Arabidopsis thaliana: one gene and its partner. The protein of the gene in region 1 interacts with the protein of each later gene in a pairwise test. Each region holds a gene or a part of one and is shown in the gene's direction. Other genes may lie near its edges.

What was found.
Region 2: the proteins of DJ1A (region 1) and CSD1 interact in a protein complementation assay, tested with the Arabidopsis thaliana proteins (one study listed by BioGRID).

What each region holds. Positions count from the first base shown.
Region 1 is NC_003074.8:5,045,323-5,050,552, forward strand, and holds DJ1A (Class I glutamine amidotransferase-like superfamily protein), read left to right. Parts: upstream 1-2,053; 5' UTR 2,054-2,187; coding exon 2,188-2,208; exon of another isoform or gene 2,209-2,210; intron 2,211-2,266; exon of another isoform or gene 2,267-2,312; coding exon 2,313-2,513; intron 2,514-2,787; coding exon 2,788-2,937; intron 2,938-3,031; coding exon 3,032-3,217; intron 3,218-3,308; coding exon 3,309-3,389; intron 3,390-3,555; coding exon 3,556-3,756; intron 3,757-3,871; coding exon 3,872-4,012; intron 4,013-4,101; coding exon 4,102-4,299; 3' UTR 4,300-4,649; downstream 4,650-5,230. Other genes in the region: AT3G14981 (uncharacterized protein), read left to right, coding at 1-6; RIP1 (cobalt ion binding protein), read left to right, coding at 4,999-5,230. UniProt on the Arabidopsis thaliana protein: Involved in oxidative stress response. Confers protection against diverse stresses by binding both CSD1 and GPX2 and mediating the cytosolic activation of the Cu-Zn-dependent superoxide dismutase activity of CSD1.
Region 2 is NC_003070.9:2,825,153-2,830,040, forward strand, and holds CSD1 (copper/zinc superoxide dismutase 1), read left to right. Parts: upstream 1-1,907; 5' UTR 1,908-2,039; intron 2,040-2,527; 5' UTR 2,528-2,547; coding exon 2,548-2,623; intron 2,624-2,719; coding exon 2,720-2,821; intron 2,822-2,953; coding exon 2,954-3,049; intron 3,050-3,227; coding exon 3,228-3,259; intron 3,260-3,353; coding exon 3,354-3,429; intron 3,430-3,600; coding exon 3,601-3,654; intron 3,655-3,878; coding exon 3,879-3,901; 3' UTR 3,902-4,163; downstream 4,164-4,888. Other genes in the region: emb2411 (DNA replication helicase), read right to left, coding at 4,427-4,552, 4,639-4,758, 4,852-4,888. UniProt on the Arabidopsis thaliana protein: Destroys radicals which are normally produced within the cells and which are toxic to biological systems.

The sequences.
Region 1 (5,230 bases):
TTTTAGCTTTTTCTATAATTGTGGAAGAAACCCACCTCTGATTCGGTGTTAAATCTCTCAACCAAAATTCATCAGATAGATAAATTCTGACGAACTTTTTTTCACCTCTCTGAATCTGCCTCTATCACTTTGTTGTGCACAGTGTGTGTATACTTATTATTGGCTATTTCTTTCTCTTCTCGTTTTTTTTCTTTTTTTCTTTTCTATAAATTGTGTGCTGTCACCAAAAAGGCATCTTCGTGTTTTTATTTTATTTTTCCTTCGTTATACTGAAAAAGTCATTCTTCATTTTTCACCTTAAGATTCTGTCTCCTCTCTGATAACAACGGACCAGCAGTTATAGTATATGGAGTACTTAAATTCGTTTAATTACACAAATTAAAACCCAAATATTCGTCGTTTTTTTCTTCTGTTATCAAATTCTTAATCCTGTTAATGACGATCGTATCACTATAAGCCAATATTAATGACTATGGTTTTAAGTTCTTGACAAAGTTTTTTTTTACTAAATTCGCCACAGACAAAAACTGTTCTGACAAAAATAACAGACAAACTAAAATGAAAAAAAAGGTTAGCATATTTAATTGCCAGGTTTCTAACTGTTCTTCTGTTGTCGTTTTAAATCATTTCAGCTTATGTTTTTGTCCTTTAAAATTCAGTCATCACCGATTGTAACAGGTTTTGTCTTAATATGTATAATCAATATCTGTTAAGTGGATTGGATGCTTTGTAATTTGCGCGGGGAATCTTTACGTGTCTTAACGATAACAAATACTGTACTATCAAATAGGTGCATGCGATGATGGACATAAGTCGTATTTTAACCTATTTTGTTGTGTGAACAGATTAGTTATTGCATGTTTTGTATTAACTATATATAGGAATACGGCTCTGAATCTTTGTTTCTTCTTATTCGATTTTGATATATGAAAATTCCAAAAAGTACATGTACCAGTACGATGAAAACGACTGTGTTATGTGAAAGTATTTGTTTTTAAAAAAAAAAATATTTAGAGGGGATCAATTCTAGATACTTTTTTCATTTTTAAGGTTTAACTATGGTTAAAAAGAAACGATTCTTTTTTAAAAGGGTAGATGGTAGACCTCATTTGCTAATTTTGATCCACATAAGTCAATAACAAATAATTCGGCTCGCTTGCGAAGCTAATGCATGAGCCACGTGTTTTGCTTTATATTTGGCTTTCTGTATTGAGACATTCTTCTTCATCCTAATTGTGAATGGAATATGTTGGACCCAACGAAGCCATCAAACATGGTTAAAACACACAAACATGTGATTTAATCTAGTTTAATTTCGTCTATTACAATATAAGTGAATTTTGACACACATCCTTGGATTATATCTAAAACGTTAAGTTTGTTAAAAACACTTTGGACCGGATAATGGGTATTGATCATTTATTGTTTGTTGCATGTTGGGTTAGAAATTAGAGATCATAACAAAAATCATGATTTCAGGCTGTCCATTTTGAAAAATGTGTGTGTTTGTGTTAATTTGAATACACCGATTCATCCAAAAACCATCTGAACAGTCTCTTAATTAGTTTACCGTGTATATATATCATATTTATGGGATCATATTTGGTTAAGTTTAACTAGTAGTTTCAAATTTCGCGTTAATAGCTATTTGAAAGGGTAGGAGTACTTTTTCGACCGGTTAACACTCCCATATAAAGCCCATAAATTATTGGAACGCTACAAAATTAACAAAACATCTCTTCAGAAGTTCGTCCGGTTTACTCTACTACAAAGTACATGTATCAAAAACGACAACACGTGCTTCCACAAAATTAAGAACCAGGACGTGATGTCGTTGTTGTAATACTTTTTTCTCGCCAACTTCACGCCGTCTTAGTTTACCGAAACCAAAGTGGCTTTTTCTGATTTTATCCAATACAATGACGTGGAAAGACTCAAAAGAAGCTTTCGCCACGTTCCACCAATGAATGTTCGACACGTATCGTCGAGTTTCTTTTTCTTTATGCTTACGTCATCGCACACGTCTATCTTCTTTTGGTTAAAGTGATAAAAAGGAAAGTCGTAAATGGCTTCGTCACTGAGTCTTTCCTACTATTTTAACCCCATTAGTGACACTCCTTTCTTCTCCACTACACTCCATTTCTCTTTCTTCTTGACTCGACCATCGTTTCTCTAATCTCCGCAACTATGGCTTCATTTACGAAAACGGTGTGTGGGGTTTCACGATCCCGAGATCATACTTTTTTCCCTCCTCGTACGTAACGATTTTTTTTTGTGATTATTAATCCAAGGTTTTTTGGCGTCTCTTTTAGGTTTTGATCCCTATTGCGCACGGTACGGAGCCTCTAGAAGCGGTGGCGATGATTACCGTGTTGCGTCGAGGTGGTGCTGACGTGACGGTGGCGTCTGTTGAGACTCAGGTTGGCGTTGATGCTTGTCATGGCATCAAGATGGTCGCTGATACTCTTCTCTCTGATATTACCGACTCTGTTTTCGACCTTATTGTGCTCCCCGTAAGTCTCTCTGCTGATTTAACATTGTCCATTTGTTTTGTTTCTTTGTGTGTAATCTAAGAACTAAGGACAGCCAATAAGTGGATCGATCAATTATCAATTAGCTCACTTAACTAAAGTTTCGAAAGTGATGTTTATAGTTCCTACTAAGAACGATGGTTTTTAGATGTATCTGTTGCAACTTTTGTTCTCTGAAACAACTTCATAGATTCTTGTTTTCTGAAAGATTTCATAATTGTGTTGCTGATATACTTTTTGATATGATTGGGAAAAGGGAGGGCTTCCCGGTGGCGAGACTCTTAAAAACTGTAAATCTTTAGAGAACATGGTCAAGAAACAAGACTCTGATGGCCGACTTAACGCAGCTATATGTTGTGCTCCTGCCTTGGCTCTTGGTACTTGGGGTCTACTAGAAGGCAAGAAAGTAAGTCAGAAGTGATCAGTATATTTCCAAGGGCGTTTATTTATCTTTTTTTCAGGCCTTGTAATGTCTTGTTATTACATGGGGTTTCTTGCAGGCAACGGGTTACCCTGTTTTTATGGAGAAACTTGCGGCTACTTGTGCAACTGCTGTTGAGTCAAGAGTGCAAATTGATGGAAGAATAGTGACCAGTCGTGGACCAGGAACCACCATTGAATTCTCCATCACGCTTATAGAGCAGTTGTTTGGGAAAGAAAAAGCTGATGAAGTCTCCAGTATCTTGGTATGTTTTGTCTCTGCCTCTTTTATCAACCGCTGTGGTACGTGTTCATGTCACCTCCTCGTAGACTTACTTGTTATCCTTTTGAAATCAGCTGCTTCGTCCTAACCCTGGTGAGGAGTTTACTTTTACTGAGCTTAACCAAACAAACTGGTCATTTGAAGATACACCACAGGTAAATGTTCAGTTGCCTCTCCACTTGGCCCTTTTAACATTTTTCCAAGACAGGCTTTGTTTGATCCGTTATACAGATTCCTAGGAACATGCTGTGTTGTAAAGCTTTTGTCTTTCTTGATCAATAGTCTTTTATGAGTCAGAGAGATAATGTTTTCCCTTTTCAGATTCTCGTACCCATTGCAGAGGAGTCAGAGGAAATTGAAGCTATAGCGCTTGTAGATATCCTGAGGCGGGCAAAAGCAAATGTAGTGATTGCTGCAGTTGGTAACAGTTTGGAAGTTGAAGGATCTCGCAAAGCTAAGCTAGTAGCAGAAGTTCTTCTTGATGAGGTTGCAGAGAAGTCGTTTGATCTGATTGTGTTACCTGTGAGTATTGCTAACTTCCAAAATGTGAATATACTATTTAGTCTTAAATTAAATTTTAATATTCTATGATGACAAATAACCAAAAACATAATCCAACTTCTTTGATGAACTACAGGGCGGTCTTAACGGTGCTCAAAGATTCGCAAGCTGCGAGAAGCTAGTTAATATGTTAAGGAAACAGGCAGAAGCAAACAAACCATATGGAGGAATCTGCGCATCGCCTGCTTACGTCTTCGAGCCTAATGGTTTACTCAAGGTGCATAAATCAAACAGTACTAGAATTGTAGTTTCTTGTTCTATCTTTTAAGTCATTAAACTGAGATATAAGAGACATGTTTTGTATAGGGTAAGAAGGCTACTACTCACCCAGTGGTGAGCGACAAACTTTCGGACAAGAGTCACATTGAGCACAGAGTCGTGGTAGATGGAAATGTCATAACAAGCAGAGCTCCAGGGACTGCAATGGAGTTTTCACTTGCCATTGTCGAAAAGTTTTACGGGCGAGAGAAAGCTCTTCAGCTCGGAAAGGCAACACTTGTGTGATTTCAAACAATGAAAGTATGAGAGTGGCTTGAATAAAAAGAAGGCTTTGCCTTTTAGTTATCTCTCTCCATTAGTAATTACTTACTTTATGATATATGACATATGAGCTTGGCTTAGTGATTGGTGTGTAACTTTATGCCTTTATAAATGAATAAACGAGATTTTTCTATGTATGTTGCCGATATTTTCTTTAAACCTCTGCAAGAGCTAGAGGGTGTGCTGGAGAAAAAAATTATTTTATGGAGAAAGATATTTTAGTCACACATTTTCACCAAATTGACCTTACAATAACTCTAAAATACGAATTTGCCCCTATGTTTAGCTTTGGAATATTTCATATTTGTAAACCATTTAATAATATGATTATTACCAATTTAGTGAAAATAAAATCTTCAGTCTTCTCTTCTTGTATAAAAATAGCTTTTTTATCATTTGAAAACAGAGTAATGTCACTAATTTCTTGGCGAAAATGTGTTTATTTGTAACTTAAGGTAAAATAGGGGCAATTTTGTTGAATCTGATAAGATCAGGGGGTAGTACCGTAGATTTCGCTGTCCAGTTCAGTTATGAAATACCTAAAATGCCCTCGACTCATAATCTACTATTAAACCCTCATAAAACCCTTGATTTCATTTCTAGCTCATCTGTTTTCACACTCTCTCCTAGGGTTTTATCTGCGAAGCCCAATCTAGAGCTTCCATGGCGACGCATACCATTTCTCGATCCATTCTTTGCCGACCGGCGAAATCTCTTTCGTTTCTGTTCACGCGATCCTTTGCTTCATCTGCTCCTCTCGCCAAATCTCCGGCGTCTTCTCTGCTCAGCCGGTCCCGTCCTCTGGTCGCCGCTTTTTCCTCCGTTTTCCGTGGCGGCCTTGTGTCTGTCAAAGGTCTCTCGACGCAGGCTACATCGTCTTCTCTGAACGACCCGA
Region 2 (4,888 bases), on another chromosome or scaffold:
GAAGGAAACCTTACCGTCTCTCCGACGAAGAACTAACGGAACGGAGCTTGAGATTGAGCGACGAAGAAGCAGCGATCGAGAGAAAGAGAGAAGTGCAAAAACTAATCTTAGTGAAGGCCAAGTATGGAAATGTATTAATGTGTTCAAACACATTAAAATTGAATTTTTTTTTAAGAAAAAGTATGGTACTGAGATTCAGAGATGGTGAATATCTGTTGTACCTAACAGCAATTTAGTAAACTATAATTTCTGACGACTATTTTTCGATACTTTTGTAACAATTATCGTAAAAAACAAAAAATTAAGTGAGATTACATTCGACGTTAGATGCCAGAAATAATATATATATGTGATTGTGAATATGTACCTTTTTTTCTTTTTTCAATGAGTGTAATATGAATGCTTTGAGAGGATTACACGCGTGATTCTGATTCGGATCACCAACTTCTTTTGCTTCCCTTTTAATTTCTTTCCTATCTTTTGCTTTTCCCATTCATCTCTCTCGCTTTCCACAAAGGCGAGATTTGAATACGTAATCCTAATTATACTCTCATAGAGATTTGGTAATTTGGCCCAAAATATCTTTCTACTTTGTAATATGTCGATGCATAGAAAACATAATCTTATTCTAACATTCACAAATCTCCTATATTTCCATATTGAATCTCTCAGTCTGGATCGGTTTGTAATCTCTGTCCAGCTACCTCTTACGTTTCAGGTGTTTCTATGATTTATCCATTGGCTTCATTGGCTGCCTATAACTTATATATCATGTTGCAATCTTTGTGTGTGTTGTGTTGGGGAGAGCTTATAGCCGGCCGCTCCTCCATTAGCTTCCAAATGGTTGAATCAGTCTGTATCAGATTTAAACTCAGTGATAGCACCCACGTTATGCATGATTTTTAAGATTTGATAAGCAGACTGTTTTTAACTTCAATTCAAGAGCATCATCCACTTTCGGCTTAATATCCTATATTAATTTCTTTAACAAGCTAAAATGAACATAATGAAAATAACTACACTCACTGATTGGCAATTACTAATATCTCAAAACATTAAGAAGTATTTTTTTTTTTTTTGGGTGAAAAGTCACTGTCTTTTTCTTAAAGCCAAAATTTATACGGAACGACAAAACAAAAAATATGACTAAAAACTTCTTAAGCGCAATCACTGACCATGCAGCCTATTTTAGTTTTTAAGTCTTTTATATACATTGGCTGTTATAGTCGTAAAACAATCAGGTATTTGTTATGGAGATAACAATTTGGGAACGCATAAATAGTGCCTCTGATGGTTGGAAGTGGAACAAAATCACAATATTTTTTTCTAGTGTATAAACAACATACAAATATCATGTCACCTGCAAAGAGAATAATATGCCAAAATTTTGATATAATACGCATAACAGAGTTTATATATCAACGTTCTAGACTTATAGGTGATCATCCATTATCTTTAACCTCTTGTAGCTAGCTAGGTTAATTAGGAGATGCATGCATCTAGATAGGCATATATAGTCTAACATTACAAATCCATCAAAGGTTCCCTTCTTCTTCTCCAAAGAAATTAGCTACATACAAATTTGACAGACTCTCATAAATATATATATATATGTTTATAGATTATATTATTAAAAATACAAATGATATTTTCTGTATTTTGTTAAAATTAGTTCTTAAGATTTTATGAAATTTATAATTGAGCCAACGTCTTAGAAATAATTATACGACATACGTAATTTAAATTCAATGACGATGACTTAAACTTAATGTTTTACAGTATTTATCCAATCAAATTTTACCACATCAGCAGAGAAGAGTCAAACTTAGGAAAAGTCTATCTTGGATTATCCTGACGTGGCTTTTTTCAAGTAAGAAATAAATTAATGCTAATCACGTACGTACCTACCCAGCTTTTGGACCTCGTGGGCTATATAGAAAACAAGTAACCAAAGAGAGACGAAGCAAAAACATTCAGAGAGAAAATTCAGCATTTTTGATAGCTCAAGCACTTGATTCTTTCCAAAGGGGTTTCCTGAGGTATGTTTGCTTTCCTTTTTGGTTTTAATTTGTTTCAAATCTTAGATCGATTCTTCACTTTGGATTCTTAAATCGATTCTTGTCCTCGTCTGTGCTGATTTCGAACTTTTCCGATTCCAACTCCGCCGAATCTACGTATAGATCTTTGAGGAAATGTTTTTTTCGATTTATGATCGGCGGATCTACCGATTCCTTTGCTTGTTTTCTTTGGATGTATCACACTCTTCTGAAGATGCCTTGACCTTTTTATGTGAACTAGTAAGAGTTATTATGGCTTAGATCGTTGAATATCTGGTATATGTGTTCTTATAATGGGATTAGGATCTATGTTTTGGTGCGTATTAAAGCTTAGTTGAGATTGATGTTTTTGGGTTTTCAAATTCTGTTTCTTGTCTGTTGAGCTAATTTAATGTTGTGTAGAACCATTTGTTTTTTTCTGGATCTTTACTTATTTGTATATGTATTGGTTTATGTTTATGTTTTTACAGATCACAAAGGCCAAGTAACAATGGCGAAAGGAGTTGCAGTTTTGAACAGCAGTGAGGGTGTTACGGGGACTATCTTTTTCACCCAGGAAGGCGATGGTAGTTCTTTATAAGAGTGCTTTATAAGATCTTTGAAGCCTATCTTTTTTTTCCTTCCTCTCAAATGATTGAGTTCTTTGTTTGGGTTTTTTGCAGGTGTGACCACTGTGAGTGGAACAGTTTCTGGCCTTAAGCCTGGTCTTCATGGTTTCCATGTCCATGCTCTTGGTGACACCACTAACGGTTGCATGTCTACTGGTAACTCTTATGCATACCTCTCTGCAAATTTTCAATGGATTAGAAACTTTTGGAGCTTATATTTATGTTTCGTATTGGGAACTTTAATTATCGCCAAAAGTAACTGAACTTGTTATTAAATTCCTATTTTAGGTCCACATTTCAACCCCGATGGTAAAACACACGGTGCCCCTGAGGATGCTAATCGACATGCTGGTGATCTAGGAAACATCACTGTTGGAGATGATGGTATGCCTTCTCAACATTTGTATCCCTCATCTCAAGCTTATTTAGAGCTGTTTTGCATCAAATTTCGCTACTCTCTCAAATTTGATTTTGCAGTCTTAGTTGTATAGTACAGTTGTCACCTTTGACCAGCGGTAGTGTTCATGGATTTACATAAAAGCTTTTGTTTTGCTTTTCTCAGGAACTGCCACCTTCACAATCACTGATTGCCAGGTTTATAGCTGTGTACCTTTTTATGCTTTTTTCCTAATCCAAACCTGCTGTAGTGAACCAATCTCTTAAGATACATTTTGTGTTGGCTTAACAGATTCCTCTTACTGGACCAAACTCTATTGTTGGTAGGGCTGTTGTTGTCCATGCAGACCCTGATGACCTCGGAAAGGGTAATGACCTTTGACCATTTATTTTCTTGAGATTTTATTTACCCATATTATGCTAACAGAATTTAAAAGTTAGCCAGTCCGTTTGAGGGCATCCAATGTAGAATGCTTATGATTCAACATCCATCCTAAGAACAGTTTATAACCTAGTGTCATTGGTGTTTTACATTTCAGGAGGCCATGAACTCAGCCTGGCTACTGGAAACGCAGGCGGCCGTGTTGCTTGCGGTAAGTAAAACAAAATTACATTTTTCTCACATCTCCTGTGAAAACCATGTATATTCTATTTAATCTTGATCATTACCATCATTGTCACCTTAGACTCCATTGATTCTCTGGTAACTCGGGGTTCATCTTGGTTTATCTATTGACTATTATTATCTTGCATTTTGGGGGTCCAACTGAATGGTAAAATTATCAAACTGATTGACCTTTTGTCTATGACTTCGCAGGCATCATTGGTCTCCAGGGCTAAAGCTGCTACGTTTCCAAAGAAGAGATTGATGTAATAAGGAGGTCCAACCTTAGACCTGGGTTTGGTAGTTGTGTGTATCTTCTGGTGTGTGGCTAAAAACCTATGAGCTTAGTGTGGCTCAAAGCATTTTTAATTCAGACAGAAAACAGAGAAAATTCCGTACTTTTATTATTTCATGAATAAAAAAGAGTTGATTTACTGTTATAAGTTCTTAAAGGTAACAAGAGTCCTGGATATGGTACTTCAATATGCGAATGTTTTTACAAACACAAACTTCTTTGTTCGTTCAAAATCTACTGTCATAACGTTAACTGAGCTAACCTTCAAATGAAACTTCTCCATCATTACAATATCTCCGCTTTTCTGTTACATGTCATTATGCAAGTGATTCATGCTCTCCTGATTTCTTTCTTATCAACAAATTCAGACTCGGAAAGTAAATCGATTATACATTATCATTCCTTTTGGACAAAAATGGAGATACAAGTTAAAATTGTGATATTTGAAACGTTTCTTGATGAGTTGTTATGGTTTTAAATCTCCCGGCAACAGATTCAAGATACCTGACTGCTCCTTAACCTTGTTTAGAAGAAGCATCAGAAGTGGAACTCTTGAGAGTGTTCTTTGTGATCCCACCATTATCAGCTTTTTCTGTCAAACCCAAACAAATTTCAATCAATGATCGATGGAATAAACAACATTACTCAACACCACATCAGTTGTTCTCTCAGTCTCACCTTTGCTCGTGTCAAAGCAACGTTGATCCTATGCCAATCTCCGAGCAGTGAAGAAGCAGAGCTCCTTGGTTTCTCTCGCGATCTCACAAAAGATACCAATATGCAGTCTTTATCTCTTCCCTACAAAATGTGAGCTCATCAAACGTTGGTTATCGAGCACTTGCCAAATCAAGATAGTCATGAAAAGAAGAACGGTAGGTCCTAGAGGCAAACCTGATATTTGTCAATAGTATGTATCTCCACAGGAGTT